Struthio camelus: one gene and its partner. The main gene of each other region encodes a partner of the protein of the gene in region 2 in a complex. Links are inferred from orthologs where the notes say so. Each region holds a gene or a part of one and is shown on either strand. Other genes may lie near its edges.

Region 1 (7,208 bases), on a different chromosome or scaffold from region 2:
AGATGTAGTTTTCTGTTCTCAACAATTAGAAAATTACAGATTTGAGATTGCCAGTGCAGCCTTAATTCTGTTACCTCACACATTTATGTCATGAACCTATCTTTACTTACCTACTGACATCTTGTTTCTTTCCACCAAACAATGTGTCATGCAATAGACTATGTAAATGTTATTGGTAATAAATCAAAACTGTGTACAGAATTAGGCTGTTGCTTGTAGTACCCTTACCCTGTATTTGTTGCCCTCGCTATATAAATAATGTTGTTTTAAAGTAATATTTGGGACTATTGATTGCCATTTTAAATAAATTAGATAAAGCCATTTAATCCTGAAAAAATGTCCATAGACAGTCCTTGATTGGACCAAGTTTGACCTTCCCTATAATATTTTAATACAAAGAGACACACGACACCTAGTGGCTATGCAAGATAACAATACAGGAATGCATAGAGCCATATATAATTTAAGGATACAGATCACCACTCTCAGGTTCACAAAATTAAGATGCAATCGCAAAACTGAAGACAAGTTACAGTCCATACTGAAGAGTCAGTTAAGATGGCCTTAACAGACTCCACATCTGCGACACAGACAACCCCTATCACCAATATTTAAAATACAAACCCAGATAATTTTTGGTCTATGGGAAAATATAGCATCTACCCTACTCTGGGGCGAACAATAGCTCTTTTATTACAACAGTATAAATTCTGTAGATTTGCCCATTAGAAAACAACAGTATCATGAGGCAATCTCCCTCACTGCATAGCACTAAGTAAAACCATACTTCTGCACCTCATAGTTTTCCACTTATCAGAGGCTATATTGGAGATACAGATAGATAAGGGGAGGACTGTGCATGAGAAGTGAGGGCGTGTGAAAGGCCATGCAGCCCTCCAAAATACTCTGGACTACTGAAATAGTCTGTTGCTGCACAGATTAAAAGCAGTTTCTGGGGCTGCTCTTTTCCATAGTTTCCCCAAAACCTCAGTTGGCTCTACAGTCTAGGAGTTGCAAAGGTGGTATTGCAGCCACCTTTGTTCTCCTTCAACATAATACAGTACAGAAAAGAGTAAAGAGCATTAGAGATACTGGCTTCTTGTTTTATTCTCCAGATGCCATCTCTGTTAATCATTCTTTGTGGTTAAATGACCTTTATTCTGCACTCCCTAAATTTGTAGACATTTATGGTAAAGATACACTTGCAGATAAATGAATCTGAAAGACGTATATTCTGAAAACAAAACATCACTAGATAAAGGTGAAATGCAGAAGAAGAACAAGCCAGTGTTAAAAGATCTTCTCCAGAGAAAAAAATCTTGCTAAACGAACTCTTGCGTGAAACTCTATGACCTGGGATACAGTTCAGGTCAAGCAGATGATCACACAGTATCCCTTTCAGGCTTTGATATTTATAAATAAGATATTAACTATTAACACAACCTATATATGAAATGTCTTTTAAAACAGATTTAGAGGTTTAATGTTGTTTTAATCTACAACCACAAAGCTAACCCAAATATAACAATAAATGTGTTTGAGATTTGGTGCACCTCTGCTGAAATGTGAAGCAAATACTTTATCCACATCTATTCATTCTTTGGTTAAGATCAACAAAAACTCAGAGGCATCATTTGAACAATATTCTTCTATTAATGTATTAAAATTATAGAAATGAATACTAAAAGGATCAAAATATCATAAAAGTTAGATTTTGCTTCAATAAAATAACTGGTATAAAACCATACTTTTGCATGTATGCAGATTAATTTTGTATTTGCAGATTAATTTAATGTAATATAGTACCTACTGAAGTATATTTTGACAGTGATAGCAAAATAAATAGGTCAGGATACAAAGAAAAAAGATTGACAAACACCTAAACTTTCCAGTTCAGCCAATGTATTATGAAATCATGTTCTTATTCTGACCTGGCTACGCTTTACTTCTGTAGTTTGCCAAGTATTTCTTTCTACTGTTGTGTTAGGACAAAAGATTCTTTGTCCCGTAAGAGTTTATGGCATCCATGCATCATCACCTTTATTAATTGTTCAGTAACCACACAAGACCTATTATTTAACAGCCTCAAAAGATAACTACTTGCTTTTGTCCCTCTTAAAGTCATTCTCAGAAAGCTGATTGCTGCATCTTTTCCTGAAAGAAGTGATTCAATACATTTGGTTTTGAATAGAAAATGCTGAAATGCCTAAACTCAGTAAACACACAGCCATACTTCATCTTTTAATTCTTCTCCTTTTGTATGACCAAAATAAATAGGGAAGTGAATGAAAAACTAGTACTCATTTGCCAAAACACTCGCCTTCAGGATAAACAAACAAACCACAGTGCAATATATGAAAAAAGGAAAACATCCTGTTGTCACTGACAGTAATCACAGAAAGCACACGGTAAATGAAACCTTTTATCAATGAAAAGAACACTTGTAAGGAAAGGGGAAAGAGGGAAATGACACTAGTATTATTAAAACACAGAAAACCCACATTTTAGAGCAGGGAAAATTCAGCTGTTGAGGTTCTTAAATTTAAGGTTTAATTTAGCTGAATTCTGAGAGAATTCACATGATAAGGTGCAATTTATTTAAAGCAGAGGTTAACCTAGACTATCCAAGAAAAAGTCTCCAATTATAATATAGTATTTCAGTTTTCCTACCTGTCGTCTCTTGGATGAAGGCCTGGTATCATCCAATCTCAATTCTGCTCTGAATCACCTCAACTGAATGGCAGATTGTCTCTCCTAAATCAGTCTCTGATGAGCTGTTTTCAGTGAACACGCACATGCACTCCATATCCTTAGAAATTTGGTCTCGGTGGAGATCTGTAAGGGTTGTTTCTGGGGATAAGGCAACCAGGACCATGCCTGAGCACATATCATGATGCAACAGCGTTCTTAGCATGCTTTTCCCTCAGAACCCAAACCTCATAAATGGTAAGAGATCCACAGTCTAGTTATCTCACACCTCGAAGCACTGTTTAACTGCAACTCTGAGCCAACTCTAGTATTTAAATACTCAAAAAATTACATTCTAGGAATATGTGTTACTGGCGTTCTCTCACAGCACTTTACATTAGGAGGACTGGAACGCATTCAGTGTTGGGCTTTCAAAATGACAGCATCACTTCTTATAATACCACACATTTTTGTTTGTTTTGCATGTGATAGGTCTGTTCTAGGCTGTGTTGACATTGAAACGTCCTTTTCTTATCCAGTCTGGAATCTATTTGACCATGTTGACCTTTGTTAACAAGCATGTTTCAGGTTCTTTAACAATACCACCATAACAATGAAAACATTTCTTTTCATCCATTTCTGTTCAGAGAACTCACTGTGTGCTTTGCTCAACCCTTCTCAGTCCTGTTTCCTGTAATGAAGTGGCTTTTCACGACCCAAAGCAAAATATTCTGATAGACTTCTGGGTGCTGGTGGTGTTTATGGAGCTCTTAGGACAAGAAGAGGTATTCCTGTTGTATACGCTAATCTGGAAGATCTACTTCCTCCTGCTTACTGGGCCTTGCTTTTCTGCAGTTCATGAAAAGTAAATCCATGCATTTCTTTCACAAGCTCATATTTACCAGCCATGTGGAAGAATAAGGGGATCTTTTACTCTTCATTTGCTTATGATAGCTCCTCCTTTTGCTATTCTTTCTCTCTTTGAGAAAGCAAGCCTAAAGCTTTTGGAGCTCTTTGGTGCTGCCTTCCTCATTTCGCAAGTGGCTGTCAGTCTAACGATTTTTGCTGCCATCTCTCATTCTTGGCATCCGACAGGCTCTAGAGAAACCTAAACCCCTGTGAGGGAGCGGAACTGTATTCTTCTGCGCGATACTTGGAAAGGCCAGCAGCATCCCTGGCCTTCGTCACCCTGCCTCATCCCTTCAGGAGCCCAGGCCAGGCCAGGCCAGGCCAGGCAATAAAAGGTTCTGGCTGCCGTGGCGGAAGGCCAGTGGGAGCTACCCAAGCCGCCCTGCGGGCAGGGTGCTCTTTTCTGCCACGTCCCGGCAGGCAGCTGCGGCGAGAGAGCGCTCCCCGCCGCCCCGCTCCTTCACAGGCCCTACAACGGCCCGCTCCTCCCTCACGCCAGCCGCTCCCTGCGAGGAACCGCCCCGCCCCGCTTGCGCACGCGCCGCCACACCTCCCCCGCCTACCAACGGCCGCGTGGCCGCGCATGCGCACCGCCGTCACGCCGGCTCCGGCGACGAGCGCAGGCAGCTCGCTGTGCGCATGCGCACCAGAGGAGCCTGGTCGGGCAGCCTTCCTCTTCCGGGATGGTGAGGAGGGAGGGTTGTAGCCATGGTGACGACCGCGCGCATGCGCAGCCTGGCGGCACTGGCGTTGTGGCGGCCAGCACGCAGGTGAGGGGCGGCCCGGCCTGGCCCGGTGAGCGCGGCTGTGGCTGTGCGGGAGCGGCGGGGGTTGGGGGGGCTTGTGGAGACGCCCGGCCTCGCCGTGTGGCGGTGCTGCGGGGCGGCGGCTGCGACCCGACGACGGGGGTCGCTCATCGCGCCGCCCCGGCCGGACGGCTGCGCGGAGCCCGGGGGTCAGCCCTCAGCGAGAGAGCCCGGGCGCGGCCTCGAGGAGGAGGAGGCGGCGGCGGCGGCGGCGGGGGGGGGGGGGGTCGGGCAGCTGCCCCGGGGGCGCGGCGGCCCCGCCGGGGCGCGCAGGCCACAGCACGCCCGCCGCCTCGCCGGGGCGCGGCCCTTACCCGCCTCGGCCCTTACCCGCCTCGGCCCTTACCCGCCTCGGCCCTTACCCGCCTCGGCCCTTACCCGCCTCGGCCCTTACCCGCCTCGGCCCTTACCCGCCTCGGCCCTTACCCGCCTCGGCCCTTACCCGCCTCGTTCGTGTGGTTTGTTCGTATGGGGGAGAAGACGTGCCCGTCCTGCCTAAAGCGCGAGGCTGACGTATGGTGTGTTCTCATTTTACTTATTTCTAGCCCTCGTCCTGTTTCTAGTTCTGCTCTTTAGCTCTAGCTCATCAGCAGCACATACCCCTTTCTTTAAAATTTATTTATTTTGGAGAGGGATAAGTAACTAAGGGAGGGACTTAAGCCTCATCTTCCATTTAAACCTATCTGTACCATGAGTATTCAGTTAAAACTGGTCTCTTAGTGATAAGAGATGGTGAAGCCGAGTTTATATTTGTAATTTTTAATCTAGTTAAAATGCATGCTGCTTTATCAAATAATTCTGTTTATGGTATGTGGAGCAGGATAGCTCCAGACCAGTCCACATGTTGGTCTAATGTAGTTGACTCTGTCTCTGTTAGCATATCAGCAGATGTGATTGAAGATAAAAAGCAAAAATGAGGCAAAACATTGAATAAGTCCTTTTTTGTTGAGCATTATTCTGTCTTGTAGTTTTACAGATGGTTATGCTAGCATCTTAGCACTCTTACCTAAAGTGCAGAGTTCATTACTGGAGGTGTCAAGGCTCAAGAACTTGACCAGAATTCTAGCAATTCTTCTTTTAAGAAGAAACTCACCTTTTGGGGTAGATTGTTCCAGAATGTGTCTGCTGCAATATCATTTGAAGTATCTAGCACTGGATACTACCATTAGTGGACTGCTGGTCTGGATATTATGTGAACTCCTGAGTTCCTGTATTTGTATTTGAATTTATAGTTCTAACATCAACCACATTTTTAAATGATTTTTTTATAAGAAAGTAATTTCTACAAATAGTATTAGACCTAATTTCTGTGGTTCGTCCTGTCATCTATCTGGTAGCCAGAGTCTGAGCTACCTTCTTTAAGAAAAGCAGAAACTTTATTCTGTCTTGTTAGAGTCTACCTACCCTTAGGAAGCAGCTGAAGGTTGTGAAGAGTACATGCTATGGGCAGCCATAAAGTAACTATACATTTTTCTGGTTTTCATAGCTTTTAGTTTCAGCCTTCCAGCGTTCTCATTCTGAAAGGGTATGGGAAGAAGAGGCATTTCTAAGGCCATGTCTCCACTAGGAGTGCTTTGCAGGTATAGTATGTGTTGCACATTTAGCAATAAGGATTTCCCTAGCCCCAGCACGTTCTCTGATCTCCAGATGTACCCTCACTCTTGAGAGTGAAATAAGCTAGCAAAAGCAGAGCTTTGCAGGTTCAGCTGTATTTATGGTATGGGATTTGCGCAGCAGAGCTGACCTGTTTGGGGATGCAATTCCCTACCCAAGATAGCTGAGTTTATAAGACAGGTATGGCCTGAGCAACCTTAATTCTTCAACAAAATGTTGTTTATGAATAGCTTTCAGCTTTCAGTTTGTTTTGCCTTTTTGGATAGAGAAATGGCTCTAATGCATTAATTTTCTCTCTACATTTCATTTTTTAAAATCACTTGAGATGCTTCTGCTTCTGAAAGATCTTCAATTAATTAATTGGCAGTGTTTAAAAAGAAAAACTTAAAATGCACAGCTGTCCCACTTCACTTAAAGGAGGATTGATTTAATTACAGATAACAAGTGTACGCCTGATAACTGCTATTTTATCTTGGTCACCCATGGTCCTGAACTTCAGAGCAATCAAATAGAACTGGGCATTACGTTTTTGACAGTTCAATACAAGAAATCATCTTCCTATTTCCAAACTTTTATGCATACAGTAAGGAATTTTTAGTTGTCTAGTAGAATCCTCAACAGAGTTAGAAGTTATTTGTGCAGAGTGTGCTTTCTGGGTGAATCTACCAGGAATTACTCAGTAATTTTAAGTAGGAAACGATGCTACTTCAGGTAAACTCAGAAAGACTGGCTGACCTGTGCTCTCTACTCTGACTTGTTTAGCCCCTGAAGAAGGAAGCTGAGTAGGTGAATTCTGGCCCTTCTACCACATCCCTTTGATTTATTAGTTTTCACAGGAATAGTAAAAATGGGTTATAGAAGATCTGTACTGTAGTTCTGCTTCAATTGACTTCTTCTTTCCTATGCCGTAGTTTTTCTGCATCTTTGAACTGGCCCTTGCCAGCATCCATGCCGCATTTTATATTCTTTCCCTGTACTTGGTACAGGGGACTGAAAGATTGGATCATAGGAATTTTCTGGACACTTAAAAAATCAGCCTGAGGAGATGGAAAACATCACTGCAGAAAGTTTTATGAAGTAGTGTATCAGTTGATACTAAAGATTGTTACCTATCGTAGCCATTCTGTAATGGATTATTAAACACGCATTGAGAATTTTGCGGGGAATAGACTGTGGTCTTATTGGCAGCCC
Region 2 (7,869 bases):
TCTAGTTCTAATTAACACAGTATGAAAATGTAGTTAGCAACTGTCTAAAATTTTAAAATAATGTGTATTTTATGAATAAATGTATTTTGTAATCGTTTATTGCAATTATCAGCCTAAATTGTCATTTGTTGTTACAGAGCTCGAATGGAAGCTAGCAGAAGTCGGAGCAATAAAATCTGACTTAGAAGAAAACCCCAAAAAGGACATTATAGATATGATGACATTTTCAATGCAAAATATTTCTGCTCACAAAGACACCAATGCAAAAAGCAGTGATGTGATGAAACCAAGCATTACTTAAGCAGAAATTTTTAATGCAGATAATCTGTTTTGACTTCAATTAGTTCAAACTAACATAGCTTCTTACTCCTGAAACAATACAAGTAGTTCTTGTTTCACTTGTAGGTGTTTGGTTTTGACTTTTGGAAGAAAATTAATATAGTAAATGACCCCCAAATTTAGCTTTGGATACACAGAGAGGCTTCTATTGACACTGAGAACCTGGATTCTCGATTTCATAGAAACCCTGCTTAAATAGAATTGGAAAGGGAGGATATTAGCTGGTGGGCTCTAATCCAGGACTTTTCCCCTCCTTTTCTCCAGCATGCATGCAAGTTTGAGTTCTTTAATTCATTCCCTTAGTGAAAAGATTGACTGTAGCGGAACTCTGCTGTTAACTACTTTCTCAGTTCCTCCTACTGAAAAGCTGGCCCGAGGAGAATGCTGTGTATAGTGATATAAAAGCAGGACTTGTCCCTAAATCCATGAACTAATTTTTTTCCAGTTTGACAGTTATGCAGTAATCTTCTCCCATGTCAAGGATAAACTTCCCACTATTTTCTGATACGAACAGTTGGGTCAATTGTTCTTTCCTAACAAAAATAAGTATCTAGTTAGCAAAATAGATTACAGTACAACTGTGGATAAGCAAGATGAAAGTACGTGAATGAATGAAGAGACCAAGCTCTATATTCAGCATTTTTATTTATTATGAGGAGCAAATCAGATTGTACACTATTAATGTTATTTTTCCAGTGACTCAACAGAAAAAACCCAACTATCTCAATGTGCTAACAAAGATTGAATTATATGCCGTTGACATAGTTTATGGCATCAGGATGCAGAAAAAAAGAGAAACAGATCACTTACTTACTTAATACTTTGCACATATATACCTAAGAGCAAAAAAATTAGCAGTAGCCAAAATTTTTGTCAGCCAGTAAAACGTAGTTAGACTATTAGTAAATATCCACTAAGAGATTTCACTACCAGAAACATTTATTTTACTGATTCAAGGAGGTAACTACTAGATGTATTTCAGTGTTGACAGTGTATCCGCCACTTGGAACTAGAAAGCTAACCTATATAGGAGTTTTAAATGTAACTGGGATTGCTGTGGGTATGTGATGACCATATGCTTTGCAAATTGTTGCAGACAGACTTTGGGGATTAAAGTATAGTTTCACAAGGTGAAGCATTCAGAAGAAATGCTTTTCACAAGGCTATGCTGTAAAACATTTCGGAAGCCACTCCAGCTGGGAAAAAAACACTTTTTTAATTGAGTTGTGTTTTTAAGTTGGATCAGTTTCCTGATCACATTCACTGTGGTCACAGAAGTATGCTGTTCCAATTACTTAGGCAGCATATGCTCCACTGTGGCAATAATGAAGTTCGCATGGTCATCAAAGATTTTAGATAATGGTTCCTGCGTCCCTTCAGTTTAGCATTAGCGTTGTCTCCTACAAAAGGGAGCTTACTCAGCAGCTCACTTCTACCTCCCTCCTACTGTGGCTGCAGTGAGTTACATGAGCACACGTGCTAGCGTTTTCACATTGGATGGGACAGGAATGCGTGGTTAGATGTGACAGGAAAGGCCAAACCTTCCCTCTGGTAGCCCTTATAAAAAAGGCCAGTGAGGAACAAAAAGGAACTTTCTGAGTGGATGATTGTTTTACAGGAATTAAGTATATTACGTGCAAGATGTTGATGATATCTTTGTAGGGAACGTGGCTGTGGTTAGGAAAGCACACTGGCAATTTCAGCATTTTTCGCCAAATCTAGTCCCACTGTTCAGTGATTCACAAAAGCTGCTCATAATTTGGCAATGTCTGAAAAGTAGGTTGGCGCTCATGAAACCTTTGTGGGTGAAAGAAAACTTATCATTATACACTAGAGCAAACTCACATTGACAAAAGAAGTTGGAAAAATAGTATTTCCAGGTCGAAAATATTTTGGCAAAACCACAACTCCATTTCTGAGCTTTCTGTACTGATCCTGGAGAAGCCCTTTGAATACTTTCAAAAAAAAAAAAAACCCACACAAACAAACAAACAAACGCCCCACCCCACACCATTATTTTGGTTAGACCATAGCCTTGGCAGAAAATGCAAACGTGTGATCTATGCAGCTATGCTGCCTGTGTTTTGATCATGTCAGACCCTCTGATTTAAGATGTGAGAGCTTCGAAGAGTAATTTGTTACTGCAAAATTCCTACTGGTAGGCAGTGTTCTGTACATGCAGGGTGTGAAGAGATACACTGGAGTATCTCTACTTTGTCTTCCTAAAAAATCACTACTGGTTACTGAAGATCTTGTTGCAATATATGTTATGTAACATAACATTTACATACCATAAATAGTTTGATGCTACTTTTAGTCTCCTGCTTTCTTGACCATGTTCTAGTTTTGGTAATTATGCATTTTTGCTGAAATTGTTCATGCAGTTTCTCCTGTATTTTCCATTCCTGCTGCGTACTATTATCTTTTTCTGCACTTCATCATAGGAGTGTTATCCTTCACATAAGTAATGAAATGCTTGATTTTGTTTATGTCACGTTTTCCTGCATTGAAAGCCAGAAAGAGAATATTATGAATCAGTAAAAAAGAAAAATCAAGTGTTTTCACTAATCCTTTAAAAAATTCTTCCAGTGGAAAAACTGAGGTCCTGCTTAGCTCTTTGGCAGCGTTACTACTTAAGAGGTTCCTCCTCTCCCCTCCCCCCCCCCACTACCTTTGCCAATGTCATATGGTCACATGGTGAATCAGACAGGGAAAGTGGTCTACCTGAAAAATAATCCAGAAAGGTAAATCCATGAGATTTTTGCAGCCAGATCAAGTTCCTTACTTCATTCCAGCACAAACACTTTCTTTGGAGGGGCACAGGGGAAGAAGGCTCATTAAATTTCTGCATACACATCTGTAATTACATTTTTAGATACATTACTGTTTAGGAAACCAACTGAAAAATAAACATCCTTGTAACTGAAGAAAACTAGAAATATTTGGATGCTGTTACTACTGAGTAATGTTTTGTTTTACAGAAAATGGTTCCTTGCTATGTTCTGCTGCATGTAGAACAGGTTTATGCTAGCAGAATCGCTGCACATTGAAACATCTTCCAGTCCTGCAATAGGCAGTATGGCTGGGATCAGTTATACATAAAGACTGTGCAGTATCTGCTAGTCATCTGGCTGATTAACTCTGATAAGTGATACTGCTTGTGAAAAAACAACCCAGTACAACTTAGTCTGCAAAGCATAGGCACATCTTACAGTTCTTATAAGCTTTCAAAATACCTACATGCAGACACACAAAGCAATGGTAAGTTTTATTGTCGGAGCCAGTCCTGCAAAATGATATTAGTGGTATCCTCCTGTGCTGAAATAATACATTTTCAGAACCGAGCTACCCTTCATCCTAGTGTACAGTCTGACCAACAAAAATGCTTCAACCGCATACAGGACACTTCAGGTCACTGAGTTCACAATTATGCTTTTACACTGCAGAACACACAAGTCTGTAAGAACTGGCAAAAGAGGAGCAATATATAAATTGTTGCTTTTCAGTCAGAAAGTGGGAAACTCACTCGCTTGGAGTCTTCCACCAGTTTGGTGGTCCAGGCAGCTGTCAGACCGGAGCAGCAAATACTTCTACTTGAAAAGGTTATATATTTCCACTTTTGAGGCTTACGTGATTTTAATAGGTGTTAGGTAAACTGAGATTTTTTAAAAACTCGGCTAGGGTCATTTCTACTTTTTATCGTTAAGTAGGACTACTTTATAAAACTGGGGTTGGAAGTACCGCAGGCCTGCACACAGACTTGCTCCACAGGCGCAGCCAGGCCTGTGAGCCGCACCAGTCTCACCACACCGACGTGACGCACCGCACCAGGACGGACGGCAGCCTGCACGCCGGCAGGGGCCGGCGGCGGCCCTGCTGCCCCTCCCCACCTGCACCCCGCGCTGCGTCACACCTTCAAGCAACGGCCCGGAACAGCAGCTACTCCTAAGTTTATCGTTTCAGTCACAAAACCGCTGCAAGCGGCGGAAACCCTTTCAGGGGCTTCGCTCCGCGCCTGCTTACGAGCGAGCCCCGGAGCGCGGGACTACGCGGGCACCCCACCCTCCTCGGCGGCCGGTAACCGCGAGCCGGGGGGACCCGGCCCCGCCGGGCCGGGCTCCCGACCGCCGCCATTTCCTGCCTGCGCGCGGGTTGCCCGCGCCCCGGCGGGGTGAGGCGAGGTGAGGCTCGCCGAGGTCAGGGAAGCGCGGCGGCCTACCGCGCTTGCGCGCCGGCTCCCTCGGGGCCCCGGCGGGCGGGTGCGCGCGCACGCGTAGAAGAGCCGGCGGCGGGCGGGAATCACCTCCGCTGCCGCCGCCGCGCGTAGGCGCAGCGCTGCGCATGCGCAGGAGCGGCCGCCCCGACCGAGGGGGCCGGGGTGCTGCGGCTTGCAGTGCGCCTCGGCGCACGCGCGGTGGCGCGAGGCGCCGCGGCTGCTGCCGGTGGGCTCGGCGGCGCAGGCGCGGTGGCGAGGGACTCCCGGGCCCGGCTGCTGGTGCTGCCGCTGGAGGAGGCTCTGTGCTGGCGGCGGGCTCGGGGCTGCGCGCAGGAAGCGGCTTCGCGGCAGAGGTCGGGCCGAGCGGGCGGGCGGGCAGCGGCTGAGCGGGGCCGGGTAAGGAGAGCGCAGCGCAGCGCGGCGGGCGGGCGGGCGGCGGCGCCGCCGCCACCACGGGGCCCGGCTCTGGCTTCGGTTCCCCTCGCGGGAGGGGGGGGACGCCGTGAAGGGGAGCCATTAAAGTTTGACAGCGCCGGCGGGTCCCCCCGCCGCCAGGGCAGCGGCGGCGGGCGGCCGGGGCAGCGGCCGCCCTTGGGCAGGGCGCAGGCGGGCGGCGGGCGGGGGCCGGGTCCGGGGGCGCTCGCGGGGCACCCGCTAGGCCCGGTGACCCACTTTGCTCCTGTCACAACTCCCGGGCACGTTTGGAGCCCTGCCCGCCTGGCCCGGCGCCCGCCCGGGCCGCTCCTGCCCCCGCCTGCCGGGCTGCGCGTACGCAGGGCGGGCGCGGGACTGCCCGGCATGCCGCTCCGCGCCGCTCCAGCTCTTCCGCGGCGGCTCGCAGCGCCCTGAGCCGGCGGAGGCGGCCCGGCCGCCGGCGTGGGGCGGGCCCCGGGCGCGGCGGCCCGCGGAGGCGGCGGAGCCCCGCGGCGGCAGGTGGCGGGGGGCGCCGGCGGCACCGGCCGGCGCTGCGGGGAGAAGCGTTGTCGCTCCTTCCTGCCCTTCGCGGGCCGCGCTGCGCTCCTCCTAAACGGGAGGGGTTTGGAGAAGCGGTCGCTGGTGCTGTTCTGACTTAAGGTGCGCGCTGCGAAGCTGTGGGTGTGCGAAGCGGGGCCAGCCGGGCACGGCAGCTCTGTGCTGCTTCTCTCTCGTTTGTGCTTCTCTCAAGCCGGGCTTGTTTGTTACTCGGTTTCGTTTTCACATTCTTAGCACTTCTGGTTTGGGATATAAGTTCTTTCCAACCCCCCCCCCCCCCCCCCCACCGTGTGGAGGAGTGTTTTTTAAACTAATGAAACATTCGTTCTGAGGTTTTTGTAACGGCTTTTTCATGTTAATGTTAAAAGCTGACCTCTTACGAGGCACACGTGCAGTCAGACGTAGTTCTAGCTGCGATATGAAGTGGCATGTAGAGACAGAGAGGTTGATCGTGGGTCCTGATCCTCTAAACCCTGAAAGTAAATTGTTTAGGGCATAGTTAGACAAGCAGTGCTTTTGGTGGCAGTGTTGACCAACAGGCCCGTCTGTTCCTTGCGCCGTGTTTTCACACTCTGTGCTGCCCCCCTCAGCTCTACCAATACAACTGTGGGTGGAACTGTGCCCTTCACTCGGTTGGGGAAATGATCCAGGTTAAAATTAACTACTATATTCCCCCTTTTTTTTTTTTTTTTGATGTGGTTATATTTAGCCTACGTCATTTCTCTGTGTGGCAGGTGTGCCAGAAAGCAAGAGAATTGTTTAGGTAGATATTTTAGTGAAAGAAATGCTGGCGAAATACACCTCGACTCCAGTAGTCCTGGCAAAGTTTTGAGTAGTTTGTGTTGTATTCAGGTTGACTTCTTTGAAGAATAAAAATGGCTTTTGTTTCTGATTATCTGTGGGATTTGGGCTTGTTATTTAAAACTAGACAGTATTTGATTGTTGTAATAGAGGGTTTCTACTTGACAGAGTAAGTGATTTTGCAAAATTGAATTTAAATAAATTGCCATTTTTTATGTGCATCTGTTCAAGAAACTTTGCCATAAGATTACAGACATGTTAAGGAATTTCTTCCAGATATATCAAGTATTAAATCTTGGGGTTAGAGTGCTGTGGTTTGTTTTTTTGCATGCTAGTGTTTTTAAGGTATGAGAACTTCATTGATAAGGTGAGGGTTACTTCCTCTTCAGAAATAGTTCAGAGAGGAAAAAAGTAACTCCCAAACTGATTTTTAATAATTTAAAATATCATTCAGCAGCATCATATTTTTATTTCTGCTGCTTCGTATTCTTACGTAGAGAAGTCTATCTGCTTTCCTTATGTCTTTTTATTTTACATATATTTGTTAATGTTTTCTTTCTTAATGCTCTAAGAACCATATAAACTCCCTCTTGTGGCTAATTTTACACTTTCTATACTTAATTGAAAAAGTATCTGAGTTGCAGTTACTTCAAATTTTATTTGCAGGGTTGGTTAATTATCTTGGTAATGTAGAGTTTCACGGAAGTCATGAATCTTCATAGATGAATTGATCTTGCTGAGGAAATAGTTGCTTTTCAGAGCTTTGAGATTTTGCTTTTTTTTGACCCTATTCAAAAGTTGGACAAAAGGCTGAAGTTACAAATTAGTGGTAGGGATAACATGTCTTCCTCCCCCCACTGCACCCTAGATATTCTTTATATGAAATGTCTATATGAACTTCCAGAATTGTTTCTTTTTCTCACTAAATATGAAAGACATGAATTCAAGATAGTTCTGATTCAAAAATGCAGGTTTTTTCATCCTTTGAAAACTGCTGCTTGTGAGCTGTGCTCCCTTTAAGGAAGGGATGTGCAATCTGCTGTCTGTCTATTCTGAAGCTGTGAAGCTTAACTTTGTAGGCTGGAGAATATGGATAGTACTCCTCTTAGAATAGAAAATTAGTGTCATAATACAGTGCGTGATAAAAAGCTAATACATGATATTGACAGGATGAAGTAAAATTATAGCAAAGGTGTGTCGTCTTTCTTATCACATGGTAATGAATTAGTTTTTCTTGAGTAAAAGACTTTGGTGGACATTTGAAAAGGTTTGGAGTAGAGAAAAGTACATGTTAGCATTTCAGCCTTTTTAGTAATAGAAATAGTTTAGTGATAGTTTCCATATGAACACTAAAATTCAGATGGATGGGTAGCAAAGATGGTGTTTGTAGTTGCTGCTATCCTTACCTTCTATTTACTTATTTTGCAAAGTATTTTTTAACCTGCATATGTTAATTGAGCTGGTTCACCCTGTTGAAAGCTGCGATGTTACTGCTGGGGGGATGGCATAAAGGGCAGGAGTGAATGGCGCTGTACTGCGAG

What was found.
Region 1: the proteins of CLOCK (region 2) and CIPC are in contact, whole or in part, in a crystal structure (PDB 5VJI), measured with the Mus musculus proteins. The link is inferred for Struthio camelus from reciprocal best matches to the Homo sapiens genes CLOCK and CIPC. Residues at the interface, in NP_001276755.1 of Mus musculus: Gln519, Leu526, Lys527, Leu530, Arg533, Ile537, Asn540, Ile541, Arg543, Gln544, Glu547, Leu548, Ile551, Gln554, Leu555, Val558; in XP_006515773.1 of Mus musculus: Asn401, Thr402, Val405, Leu406, Ser409, Leu411, Ile414, Thr415, Thr418, Leu421, Ile422, Asn425, Thr428, Gln429, Leu432, Leu435, Lys436, Thr439, Gln440, Phe442, Ile443, Thr446.

The regions. Positions count from the first base shown.
Region 1 is NC_090946.1:58,937,675-58,944,882, forward strand, and holds the start of CIPC (CLOCK-interacting pacemaker), read left to right. Parts: upstream 1-4,158; 5' UTR 4,159-4,367; exon of another isoform or gene 4,368-4,392; intron 4,393-4,666; exon of another isoform or gene 4,667-4,921; intron 4,922-5,889; exon of another isoform or gene 5,890-5,983; intron 5,984-7,208.
Region 2 is NC_090945.1:56,501,856-56,509,724, forward strand, and holds the start of CLOCK (circadian locomoter output cycles protein kaput), read left to right. Parts: upstream 1-4,797; 5' UTR 4,798-4,951; intron 4,952-7,869. Other genes in the region: PDCL2 (phosducin-like protein 2), read left to right, coding at 138-301. UniProt on the Homo sapiens protein: Transcriptional activator which forms a core component of the circadian clock.